Linked DNA regions of Kluyveromyces lactis. The protein of the gene in region 3 interacts with the protein of the main gene of each other region in a pairwise test. Links are inferred from orthologs where the notes say so. Each region holds a gene or a part of one and is shown on either strand. Other genes may lie near its edges.

What was found.
Region 1: the proteins of HFI1 (region 3) and SPT7 interact in binary tests that used the Saccharomyces cerevisiae proteins (3 or more experiments, as listed by UniProt). The link is inferred for Kluyveromyces lactis from reciprocal best matches to the Saccharomyces cerevisiae genes HFI1 and SPT7.
Region 2: the proteins of HFI1 (region 3) and UBP8 interact in binary tests that used the Saccharomyces cerevisiae proteins (3 or more experiments, as listed by UniProt). The link is inferred for Kluyveromyces lactis from reciprocal best matches to the Saccharomyces cerevisiae genes HFI1 and UBP8.

The regions. Positions count from the first base shown.
Region 1 is NC_006041.1:1,117,197-1,121,441, forward strand, and holds the start of SPT7 (SAGA histone acetyltransferase complex subunit SPT7), read left to right. Parts: upstream 1-1,445; coding exon 1,446-4,245. Other genes in the region: KLLA0_E12563g (uncharacterized protein), read left to right, coding at 146-545. UniProt on the Saccharomyces cerevisiae protein: Component of the transcription coactivator SAGA complex. SAGA acts as a general cofactor required for essentially all RNA polymerase II transcription. At the promoters, SAGA is required for transcription pre-initiation complex (PIC) recruitment.
Region 2 is NC_006039.1:603,844-606,834, forward strand, and holds UBP8 (ubiquitin-specific protease UBP8), read right to left. Parts: upstream 1,842-2,991; coding exon 501-1,841; downstream 1-500. Other genes in the region: PLP2 (Plp2p), read left to right, coding at 1-339; KLLA0_C06996g (alpha/beta hydrolase), read left to right, coding at 2,587-2,991. UniProt on the Saccharomyces cerevisiae protein: Histone deubiquitinating enzyme component of the transcription coactivator SAGA complex. SAGA acts as a general cofactor required for essentially all RNA polymerase II transcription.
Region 3 is NC_006038.1:904,039-907,417, forward strand, and holds HFI1 (Hfi1p), read right to left. Parts: upstream 1,917-3,379; coding exon 618-1,916; downstream 1-617. Other genes in the region: CIK1 (Cik1p), read left to right, coding at 1-494; KLLA0_B10373g (uncharacterized protein), read right to left, coding at 2,621-3,379. UniProt on the Saccharomyces cerevisiae protein: Component of the transcription coactivator SAGA complex. SAGA acts as a general cofactor required for essentially all RNA polymerase II transcription. At the promoters, SAGA is required for transcription pre-initiation complex (PIC) recruitment.

The DNA.
Region 1 (4,245 bases), on a different chromosome or scaffold from region 3:
GTTTAAAAGAAGGACCGGCTCTGTTTTGATCCCTCATCCATCGAACTATGGAAATGACAGCTTTTTGACCTCTGTTAATCCCACTTTTTCTCTTTTACTAACATTCTATTGGAAAAAATCGCATTTCCCTCTTTTTTCCCTCCAGAGACCCCCCAACTTCATGCTCTGCTGGTCCAGTAGGTGATGATGTATATCACTGGCAAGCCTCTATCATGGGTCCTCCAGATTCCCCATATGCAGGCGGTGTTTTCTTCCTATCAATCCATTTCCCAACAGATTACCCCTTCAAACCACCAAAGATCTCTTTCACCACTAAGATCTACCACCCAAATATCAACGCTAATGGTAACATCTGTCTAGATATCCTAAAAGATCAATGGTCTCCAGCTTTAACTATCTCTAAGGTCTTGTTGTCCATTTGTTCTCTTCTAACAGACGCTAACCCTGATGATCCTTTGGTCCCTGAAATCGCTCATTTGTATAAGACCGATAGAGCTAAGTACGAGGCTACTGCTAGAGAATGGACTAAGAAGTATGCTATTTGAAAGAAATATAACAAAAAAAAAAGAAGAATGAACCGAAGAAAAGAATACTACAAAAGGACAGGGTTCGGCGGAAAGTAATATCATCTTAATCCGACTAAAAAAATACTCAAACCTTCCACCATTGTATATCCTACCCCTTTTTGTTATCGGTACTTTCAACTCACATCGTTTTGGACTTCTTCTGACACAATTCTCAACTTCAAGCTTTCAAGGTTTAAAGTATTAGAAAGAATAGTATATATATTAACGCACCAATTTTCTTTATATTATATTGTGTATGTGCTCATGGTACATGTAGGTATATATACCGTATAATTTTGATATATTTCATTTCCATTAGACGACTGTTTCCGACAGGTAAGCTAGAACCATTGGTTATAATTATACAAGATTTTTCAAGACTTTTCAAGACTGGTTTTTGTCCACAGACATTGGTTTCTGAATGTGCCAATTTGGTCACAATTATAGAAATGGAGAGACATACGCCTGATCATTCTAGCTAGTGAAAATCAATTTATCAATGCTTACCTAGGTACTAAAAACCTACCACAACTAGTCCTATATATATAGATACAACTGGGTAGAGCTGTTGGATACTCAACTCTTGTATGTTAAGGCTAAGCGCCGCTGAAACGAATAAGCCGTATGACTGTCCCAATATCACTTTATACGTTTTGATGTTTTTTGACATTTCGTGAATTTTGGAAAACACAGACAATCGGTGCAACTGATGGACAAACAAGATTCGGACCATACACTCAAAAGTCGTGCCGTTTACAGCTTGTATCAGTAAAACGAGAGGCAAGCGAGCTGGTAGTGAAGGAATTGATTCAGAATTTTCCTTCAAAACTACTCTTTATTTACTCTAGTGGTTCTTTCTGCGGAAAAAGTTGACTGTCCATGATTACAAGTTACCAGCGGTCCGATGCCGCCGCAATACTTCGAACCATCCAGAAGTTATTCGCAGATGATGTATTTAAAAAGCACCTCAATCCGAGTCAGTTACTTTTATTGAAGTACTTGTTGAGTCTACCAGACCAAGAATCAAAGACACTTATATGGGATGCGTTTCTCTCCGGCAAGTTGGAACTATTTGTAGAACTGAATACAACTCTTAATGCAACTTCCGACAAAGGTGCCACTAATGATTTGGTAGCGGCTACCAGATTACCATCATTATCAACACAACAACAACCTCAAGCTAGTTCTGGACTCTCGAGAACTGGCACTCCTTTACATGATTCGACTGATAACCAAAGTGTTGACGATGACGACAGTGATATGATCGATTTGGAACAATTGAAGGCCCAGCTAGATGGACTGGATTTTATAGGAAATTTATCTATGAAAGTCAGGTACGTTGTATGGGAACATGGACTCACTCTCCTTGAGCCAGAAACATCCTCAGAATACCTTCTACTTGACACGGATAATGATAGCGCTGTAATAGAGGATGGAAGTAATAATACTCTTATAGATCAAAGTGCGGTTCCCAACTCTTCCACGCTTCCTACAAATGACACAGCACCCTTGACTATGAAAGAAGTGAGCAAGAATAGCGAAAACAAAGAAGGCTCTGATGAAGATGATAACTATGATGAAGATGATGATGACGACGACGAGGATAATTACGATGATGCTGAAGAAGATCCTCAAAAGATAGAAAAAAATGATACAGAAAATGGAAAAATCTCTCATCCTAATGATCTTGATGAGAAACCCAAAGTGTCAGATGAAACTGAATCGCCAATTTACGAGCAACTTGATAACGGACTCATAAGACTGCATTTCATCATCTCAAAGGAAACTTTGAACGAACTTCCATCTGTAAATACCTACGATATCATCGGTAACTTTCACAAAATATATCATCTCTTTGACAATGATAAAGAGACCACTATGAGGCGTTTAAAACTTCAGGAAAATGATCAAATGCTAGAAAGCTCAAGGAAAAGGTCTCACGAACAGATTGAAGACGAAGAAGAGGATGACTCAGGGAACCCTAGCATATCTCATCATAAGTCTGCGGCAGATAAGAAGATCAATACTAAGACTAAAGCAGATATCCAAATGGACCTCGGTGTCGTAAATCTGTCATTAAGGCATTTGCTCAAATCGGTACAGGAAAATAAAAGTAAGCTAGATATTTCAGATTACGAACTTAAACATTTATTAATGGATGTTAGAATGAACAGATCTAAATGGGCTTCTGAAGATAAAATTGGACAAGAAGAATTATACGATGCATGCGAGAAGGTGGTACTGGAACTCAGAAATTTCACAGAGCATTCTACTGCATTTCTTAACAAAGTCAGCAAGAGAGAAGCTCCAAACTATTACCAAATAATTAAAAAACCAATGGATTTGAACACTGTGCTGAAGAAGCTCAAAACTTTTCAGTATAAATCTAAACATGAGTTTGTTGATGATATTATGTTAATATGGAGAAACTGCCTCACGTATAACTCGGATCCTAAGCATTTCTTGAGAGCCCATGCAATTGCGATGCAGAAGAAATCTCAACAACTAGTACCACTAATACCAGATATAACAATCCGTGATAGAGCGCAAGTTGAAAAAGAACTAGAAGATATAGACGCCGAGAGCAACATTAAAGACGATGAAGAGGATGCTGGTTCAGGTCGTAAGGGTATTCAGAGACGTGGTGTTCAAAAGGTTATTGACGATGAAGAAGAAGAAATGGAAGAGAACCATCCTGGAGGTAAAAAAACACGAGCAACTGATGCTGAACGGAATCAACAACAATCCACCAATAAAACAGTAAGCAGTGACAAAACACCTTCCACTAACGAAGCTGAACAAACGCCAGAAGTTGGCATAGTTTCTGCAGAGGGGAGAGGCTCCAAAGTGGCTCAATCTTCGACTAATAACGAATCTACTGAACCAGCAGTTGAAAGTAAAGCAGTGTCAACTGTTGAAAAAAACCAAGAACATGAGGATGCAGAAGAAGAGGAAGAGGAAGAGGATGAAGATGAAGAAGATAATGCCGCTGGAATGATGCTTCTTGAACGAGATGACGATAAGGACGATCTGGAATTGTCCACATGGAAAACACTTACAGCCAAAGCCCGTGCTGAAATTTGTTTGAAAAGATCACAATTGTTCAACGAACACAAAATTAATTCCGAATCTGATGCCCTCTTGAAAAATCCTTCTAAATTAAAGAATTTTGATCAGTTCTTCGAGGAGTATAAGCAACAGAAAGAAGCAGAATTTGCAAGACAAAAATTACAAGAACAGTCAATGATGAAAAACGGTTTTGGGGCAATAATGAACCAAGCAGATAGCAGTGTATCGAATTTTTCTGACACGAACGTTAAATCACAAGATGCCGAAAGTTCCTTGACTAAAGAATCGAATGAAATCACTCTCGAAGATTCTTCGTTATTGACAGAGTACAACATCACTAATTATATCCCGGACTTGGCATATACAGGTATTGGGAAAGAACAATTAGATAAAGCTGAGGAAGCTATGGTTCAAAAAATTATGAAGGAAGGAAAAGTAATGAAGAGCTCTTTGTTGAATACTGTCGATAAGGGGTTGAGTCCAAAAATGAACACGAATATCCAGTTGATACATGAGATTAGGCATATATGTCATAAAATTTCTTTGATTAGAGCACTACAAAATCCAAATAAACCCAAAAATTCACAACAACCGCTAAGGTTCAAAGAAT
Region 2 (2,991 bases), on a different chromosome or scaffold from region 3:
AATAGAGCAATAGAGAATTATCCAGATAACAACTGTCCGACTTTGATTGTTTATTACAAAGGTGATGTCGTAAAACATTTGGTTACACTACTCGAACTTGGTGGAAAAGATACTAAATTGGAAGATTTTGAAAGACTTATGGTTGATATTGGTGCAGTAGACGAGAAAGATGGTAGATTGCTAATGAACCACGAAGATGATTATACTAAACAAGAAAAGAAACAGAGATACGGTCATAACAGTATAAGATCAGGTATCAAAGGCAAATTTAATGTTGGTGTTGGTAGAAATGGCCGCAACGGTGCAGATGATGATGATGATGATGATTTCTTCGATTAGATAGAATACTATATATATATGGGTCTGTATATTGAAAAAAAAGATATAAAGGCAATAATAACACGTCGATTGGTGTGATGTTATTTGGGTTTCTTTTCTGACATATATATACGGAAGCCACCTAGTAAACCAATTTAGGAGTTTTTCTTCTTTTAACATATTCAACGAATAATGTAGAAAAGTAGATATGCTTGTTGTTCCAATACTTGCTCTTCCGTTACTGAAGTGACAACAGAATCATTGAATTTAAACCATTGTCCATCTTCAGTTTTACTCACCGTGGTATAATGACCTTGATCAACCGTCCCCTGATGGGAGACTACATTTAGTAGATCATATGCAATATTAGGAATATATTCATCTTCAATCTGGAATAAATGGGGTTTTAGATTTAAATGCAATGGAAACTGTACTCTATCATTTAATTTTGCGCTTTGACCGTTGAGTTGATGTTCGAATCTTTTCAACTGTATAACTAATACGTTAGGAGCCTTATGCAACGTTAACTGTTTCACCACACCCTGGTTCTGTTTACAGCTTTGGCATTCGTAGTGAAAATCGGTTAATGTTTCCTCTCTTTGGAAGTGATCTAAGCAATCTTCTAATTTAGGGTTATTTTTGATCTCTAAGGAAAGGTCCATGATTGGATCTATTGTGGTCTTTGAGAATCCACACTGAGAACACTGTAAAGTGTTTTTAAGATATCCTTGGAAGATTCGATGCGTGATACATTGACAATCAGGGGCCTTTGACGATCCGAATACTCGTGCATGATCCGTATGCAGTTGGTTCAATAAGAACTGCCAGTACTCATGTGCATCCTGTTGTGACGAGCCAACAAGATGATGATTGATATGCCATGATGCAGATAAAAGGTTTACAAAGCCTTTGCTAACGGAGGAAGACTTCCCTGTCCCAGGTCCATTCCCGTAAAAGTCACAAGCAATTTCATCCAATGCACAAGAGACGCACTTGGTTCCTGATTTAATGTCACAATTGTTGCAATGCTTATGAGATAACAGGTCCTCGACAAAGTATGGATTATGTATGATGGTTTGAATGATACTACTCATGAAACAGGTGGATCCCATGTTCACCAAACCTTGTAATCCATCTCTGTGTAAGCTAGCTGGTAGCTCGGTCTTTTCCATTACAGTATCCCATTGGCTAGCCGGAATTTCAGCGACCAGATCAGCCATGAAATCACCACATCTGAAACAGAACACTAGACCATTTGATGAATTAACCCCAAAGATGTGTCCCAATTTTTGAGAATGATCCAAGAAATGGTTGTTATTCCAGCACCCGCAAAATCCGCATTGCAAGCAAATGAAAGTCGATCCACAGCTAATTTCACCACAATCCATACATCTCATGGTTCTCATAGTTCTATTCTTGAAGTCTGCGTGGCGAAGCAGATATCGTACCGTTTCGCATTCTTTCAACACTGCGTCACCAAGCTTTTGGTTAGAAACCACTTGATTCATATGCGGACAAACCATAACTAATAAAAAAAATTTTGGCCAAGCACACGCACGAGCACTGAGAAATTTCAGAAAAATATCTAGCTGAAGTTCCCTGCTCGAGCTAGAGGATGACTAAGGCACAAAGACTTTGCTCCGTTTCCCCAAAAATTGTAACTGAATCTGATTACTAGATCATCATCTGTTAGAGTGCGAATTTCATATAATGAAAAGTTAAACAGAAAAAACTTGATCCAGAATCAAGCAAAAAAATGAAAAAGCGAAAAATAAAAGGAAGAAATGATACATAAGTAAACGGTAGATAGTATATACTTGTGGGAGCTCAGTGTGGTCATATACAGACTACTATCAGCCGGGGTGTTTGTAACCATACAGGCAAATGAGTGGAGGTGTCTACAGGATCTCTTATATATTATTAGTTTTATTTTTTATGAGTATCAAAATTAGCATGTATCCCGTAGTCATCCTTATGTAGTCATTTTGTACTCTTTCTCTCGAGAGGTACCTGGAAAAACCAGCTGCGTACGAAGATTTCTAGGAGATAATCCGATTCGCAGAGAAAGAGAGAGAGGGAGAGGGAGCTCATCGCAAGGAAAATTTAAAAAAAAAAAAAGTTCATCAACGTTTTCCAATTCTGTTCCAGTATTCTGAAGGGGAGTAGTATATGGGTAGGTATTTATGTCCGGTTTCTATTATTAGTGGATTTGGATTTAACACCGCTTCAGGCTGTGAGGTAGATAAACAGTTCTAGGGTTTTTAAAAAATGTCTAAGAAAGTATTGATGTTGCATGGGCTTGCCCAGTCTGGTCCTTATTTTGAATCGAAAACGAAAGGTTTTCGTCGGGTCTTAGAACCACTTGGATATGAGTTCTTCTACCCTACAGCACCAATTAATTTATCACCAGCAGATCTTCCTAGCGATGTTGCAGATATCGGCGCTGCTTCTGGGGATGACTATCACGCGTGGCTTCAACCGGATCCGTTGCATGGGGAGTACAGATTGCCCGACGTGACTTTGAAATTCTTGAAAGAGTACGTTGTCGAAAATGGACCATTTGATGGTATCTGTGGGTTTAGTCAAGGTGCAGGTGTCACTGGATATTTGATGACGGATTTCAATAACCTTTTAGGCCTCACGGAGGAACAACAGCCTGCTATTAAATTTTTC
Region 3 (3,379 bases):
TTATATCAATAAACGATGATTTGAGGAAAGATTTCCTACGAACGATAAATGAACGATTTTTGAAATCCAAAGTTCTTGTTCAGATGGTTGTATTGAACGACAGTGACCTTTCGAAGGATTTATTAAATTCTGAGGATTCTGATTTATCCGCTGTCATTGACGAAAAATGTATTGATTTCCATTCTAAAAGACTACCGATTGAAGAAGTGAATAATTTTATACTTCCCGATTTCAGAGGAATTCATGTTATGAAATTTGAAGTCTTCGATAAAGAAGATGATTTTGAAAGCATATTTTTCATCCAAGCACCTACTAAGGAAATTCAGAAAATGAATGCGATTGATATCACAAAGACGGCTGTCAGCCCAGTCTCGACCTTCTTGCAATCGTTATTATTAAGACTTGAATCCTTAATAATATTCAATTTTGATACACCAGATTCCTCATTATTACAATTATCACAAACTTTACATAAACTACCAAATCCGAAATAGTAGTCATATTCCCTGTCTATAAATTCTACAAAAAAATGAAAGCGTGGAAATTGTTCGATTAAATCAATCAGAAGAGTGACTTTTGGCTCCTTCAATTGAGAATATTCGCAATACTGTTAGTCATTATTTCTTTGTAAGAATATCTTTAATTAGCCAGTTAAGCTCTTCCCGGCTTCCCATATTCTTTTCGTCAAGGGGAGTGAAGTTAGGCTTTTCCCGTTTATAATGAAATAGATCATCGACAGGACTTTTGAAATGAACGATCTCATCGTCATTTACCAACCCATTTGTAGTTAATCCAAGGTATGCACCTGTTGGATCAACAACGTTGGGGAATATCGTGAACGAGTCCAAAGCGTCTTCATTTGTAATGGATACAGTTCTGTTACCAGTAATATCCTTCGCTTTATCACTCTCAGTCTTACTATTTGCTAACGCACTAGATGCTTGTTGGAACCCGTCATCGTTTAGGTCGTAGAAGTCCGAGTATTTCTTTTCTCTGTATCTTACTGTATCTATGGTGGATTCAATAATTGTCTTGAGATAATACTCTAATGCAAGTGATACGATATCAACACATCGCGAATCTATCTGTCCAACAATTCCATTTTCTCTTGCAATTCCTAGCATTCGAAGATAAAGAGACTCATTATCCGGTAAAACATATGACTCGGTAGAAAGTTGTGTTTTGAAACCATTCATGATCTTTTGGGACCATTCCTGTGGGCCCTTCAGATCTTGTTGCTGAATTCTCTTGGCAGTTTCCTGGTTGAAGACGCAAGGTAATTTCGGTATCTGTCTCAATCTAGCCTGTAGCACTGAACATAATACAAATCCTCGTTTTCCTGCTTCCTTTGTTATCATTTTTAATCGTTGTCTATCCGATAACGGTAGGGAAACAACAATTTTTTTGTATAATTCGATCTGCGAGTTGGGCTTGTTTGATCTTCTCTTATTCTGTTGTTGAGAACCGTTCTGGAACCCCCATTTCGATGATTGTGGATCATCGTCGGTGGTTTCTCTAAGAGAATTAGTGAATATCGATAGTAAAAGTTGGTTATGCAATCGTATTAAATCTCTTGGTTTAATATTCGGCTGTTCTTGGGTAGGTTTAAATAGTAAGTCTAATTCATTGACCAATTCCTTTCTGGACAATTTTCCGAGTATGAATAACGAAATCACTCTGGCATATTTCGCCCAATGCTCTTTGCTTAAAACTTCATTAAATTCATTAATCATAGATTCAATATCCAATCGCTTATCCTGAGGAAACCCAACGTTTCCTCCACCATTGTTATTACTGGTTTTGCTGATTTCCTTCACCGAATTGGTATTGTTGTTCTGATGGTTGCTATTAATACCAATATCTTCATGAATTGTCGGCGTACCACCTGTTGCAACTGTTGGCGTTGATACAGACATTCTCGGTCACGTGATTCGATATGCCTTTTATTTTTGACAGCGTTCTAAAATAAACCAAAGTAGAAATAAACCGCAGTAGCCAGAGACGAAAATTGACCAGTGGAGGGTTTCAAAATGAGCGGTAACCACGGCTAAATTGTCACCTTTTTTCAGATTATCAGTAATTACTTATCAATGCACAGTCAGTGCACAGTCAAAATCCGAATGAAGTACCTTGTTGTCCGTCAAATAGGGCGGCTTTCTCTTTCCTGAACTCGCTAATCTCATCCATCCTATACAATTTCATTCGATTTTCTGATTTCTTCATTTTCAAACGGAAAACTAAAACCGAAATTCGATTGGAAAGGCGAAGTGAGGGTAATTCCAAATAGTACTCAGTAATACGACGCGTAATGGGTATATGAGATATGGCTTTTGAGGAAATGAACACTATGGTTTGCTAACTTGCTGTCTACTGTAATATACTTTGACCACTGATACCACTCCTGGAACGGAATTGTCAATAGTATTCTGGCTATTCAATTACATCCTTAAGTATCGAAATTCCACTTTTATTCATTAATGTGATGAAATCACTCGACACTTCAAGAAAGAATCTGTCACGAGACAAATTGTTTCCGAATTGGTGATAAATGATTACTGACATTCTCGACTATTTATTAAATATTATTTATTAGATACTTGTGTTTGTGAGGTGAGGATATTCAGAAACCTAAGCTGTTATAACTTGGCGGAGAGCAGCTAGATGAAGTTGAAGGAATGTATATCAGAGATGAATTATTTGTTTGATCAAATTCACTACCAATGGAAACGGGCATGGCTTTACCATCCATAGCTGGTTCGTAAGCTGGTAAATGCAAGCTGGAACCCATATTTTTATCAATTATCATAACGGGCACCTTGAAATTAATGTTAATACGTCTTGTTTTGTCAGGAAAAGTGCCGTTAGTACAATCTTCCAGAGATGTACCAGCAGTTATCTTTAAATGATGGGTAATCTTAAGTTTAAAACGTTTCTCAGTTGAGTTCCTCCTGCTTAACCTTAACCTTGATTCCTCACAGTAGTATGGCAAGATCTTAGTCATTAAGGAACTTGTTTTAGAGTTTGTGTTAATTACAAGTTCTTCGAATTTAGCAGTTACCAGCTTCGATTCGTTATCATTTGGAGTGGGAAAATAATGACCCAAATGGACGGTATTAGTTTGGATATACGATTTCTTCAAGGGTGTAATGCCATCTGATTTGAGGCATGGTATCAGAACAAGCTGCACTAGGGAAACTGTGACCTTGGTGACTTTAGCTCCCATTTTCGTCAGAAAATTAAACTGACAGTGAAATGGACAGTTTAGTTCAATCAGCTTAGAAGATATGAAAAAATCATAATCTAAGAACCCTTCGTCATAAGTTCCCTGTGAACTGATTGATTCATATTTTAAAAGTGATGATGGGGACAACGTCTTAGT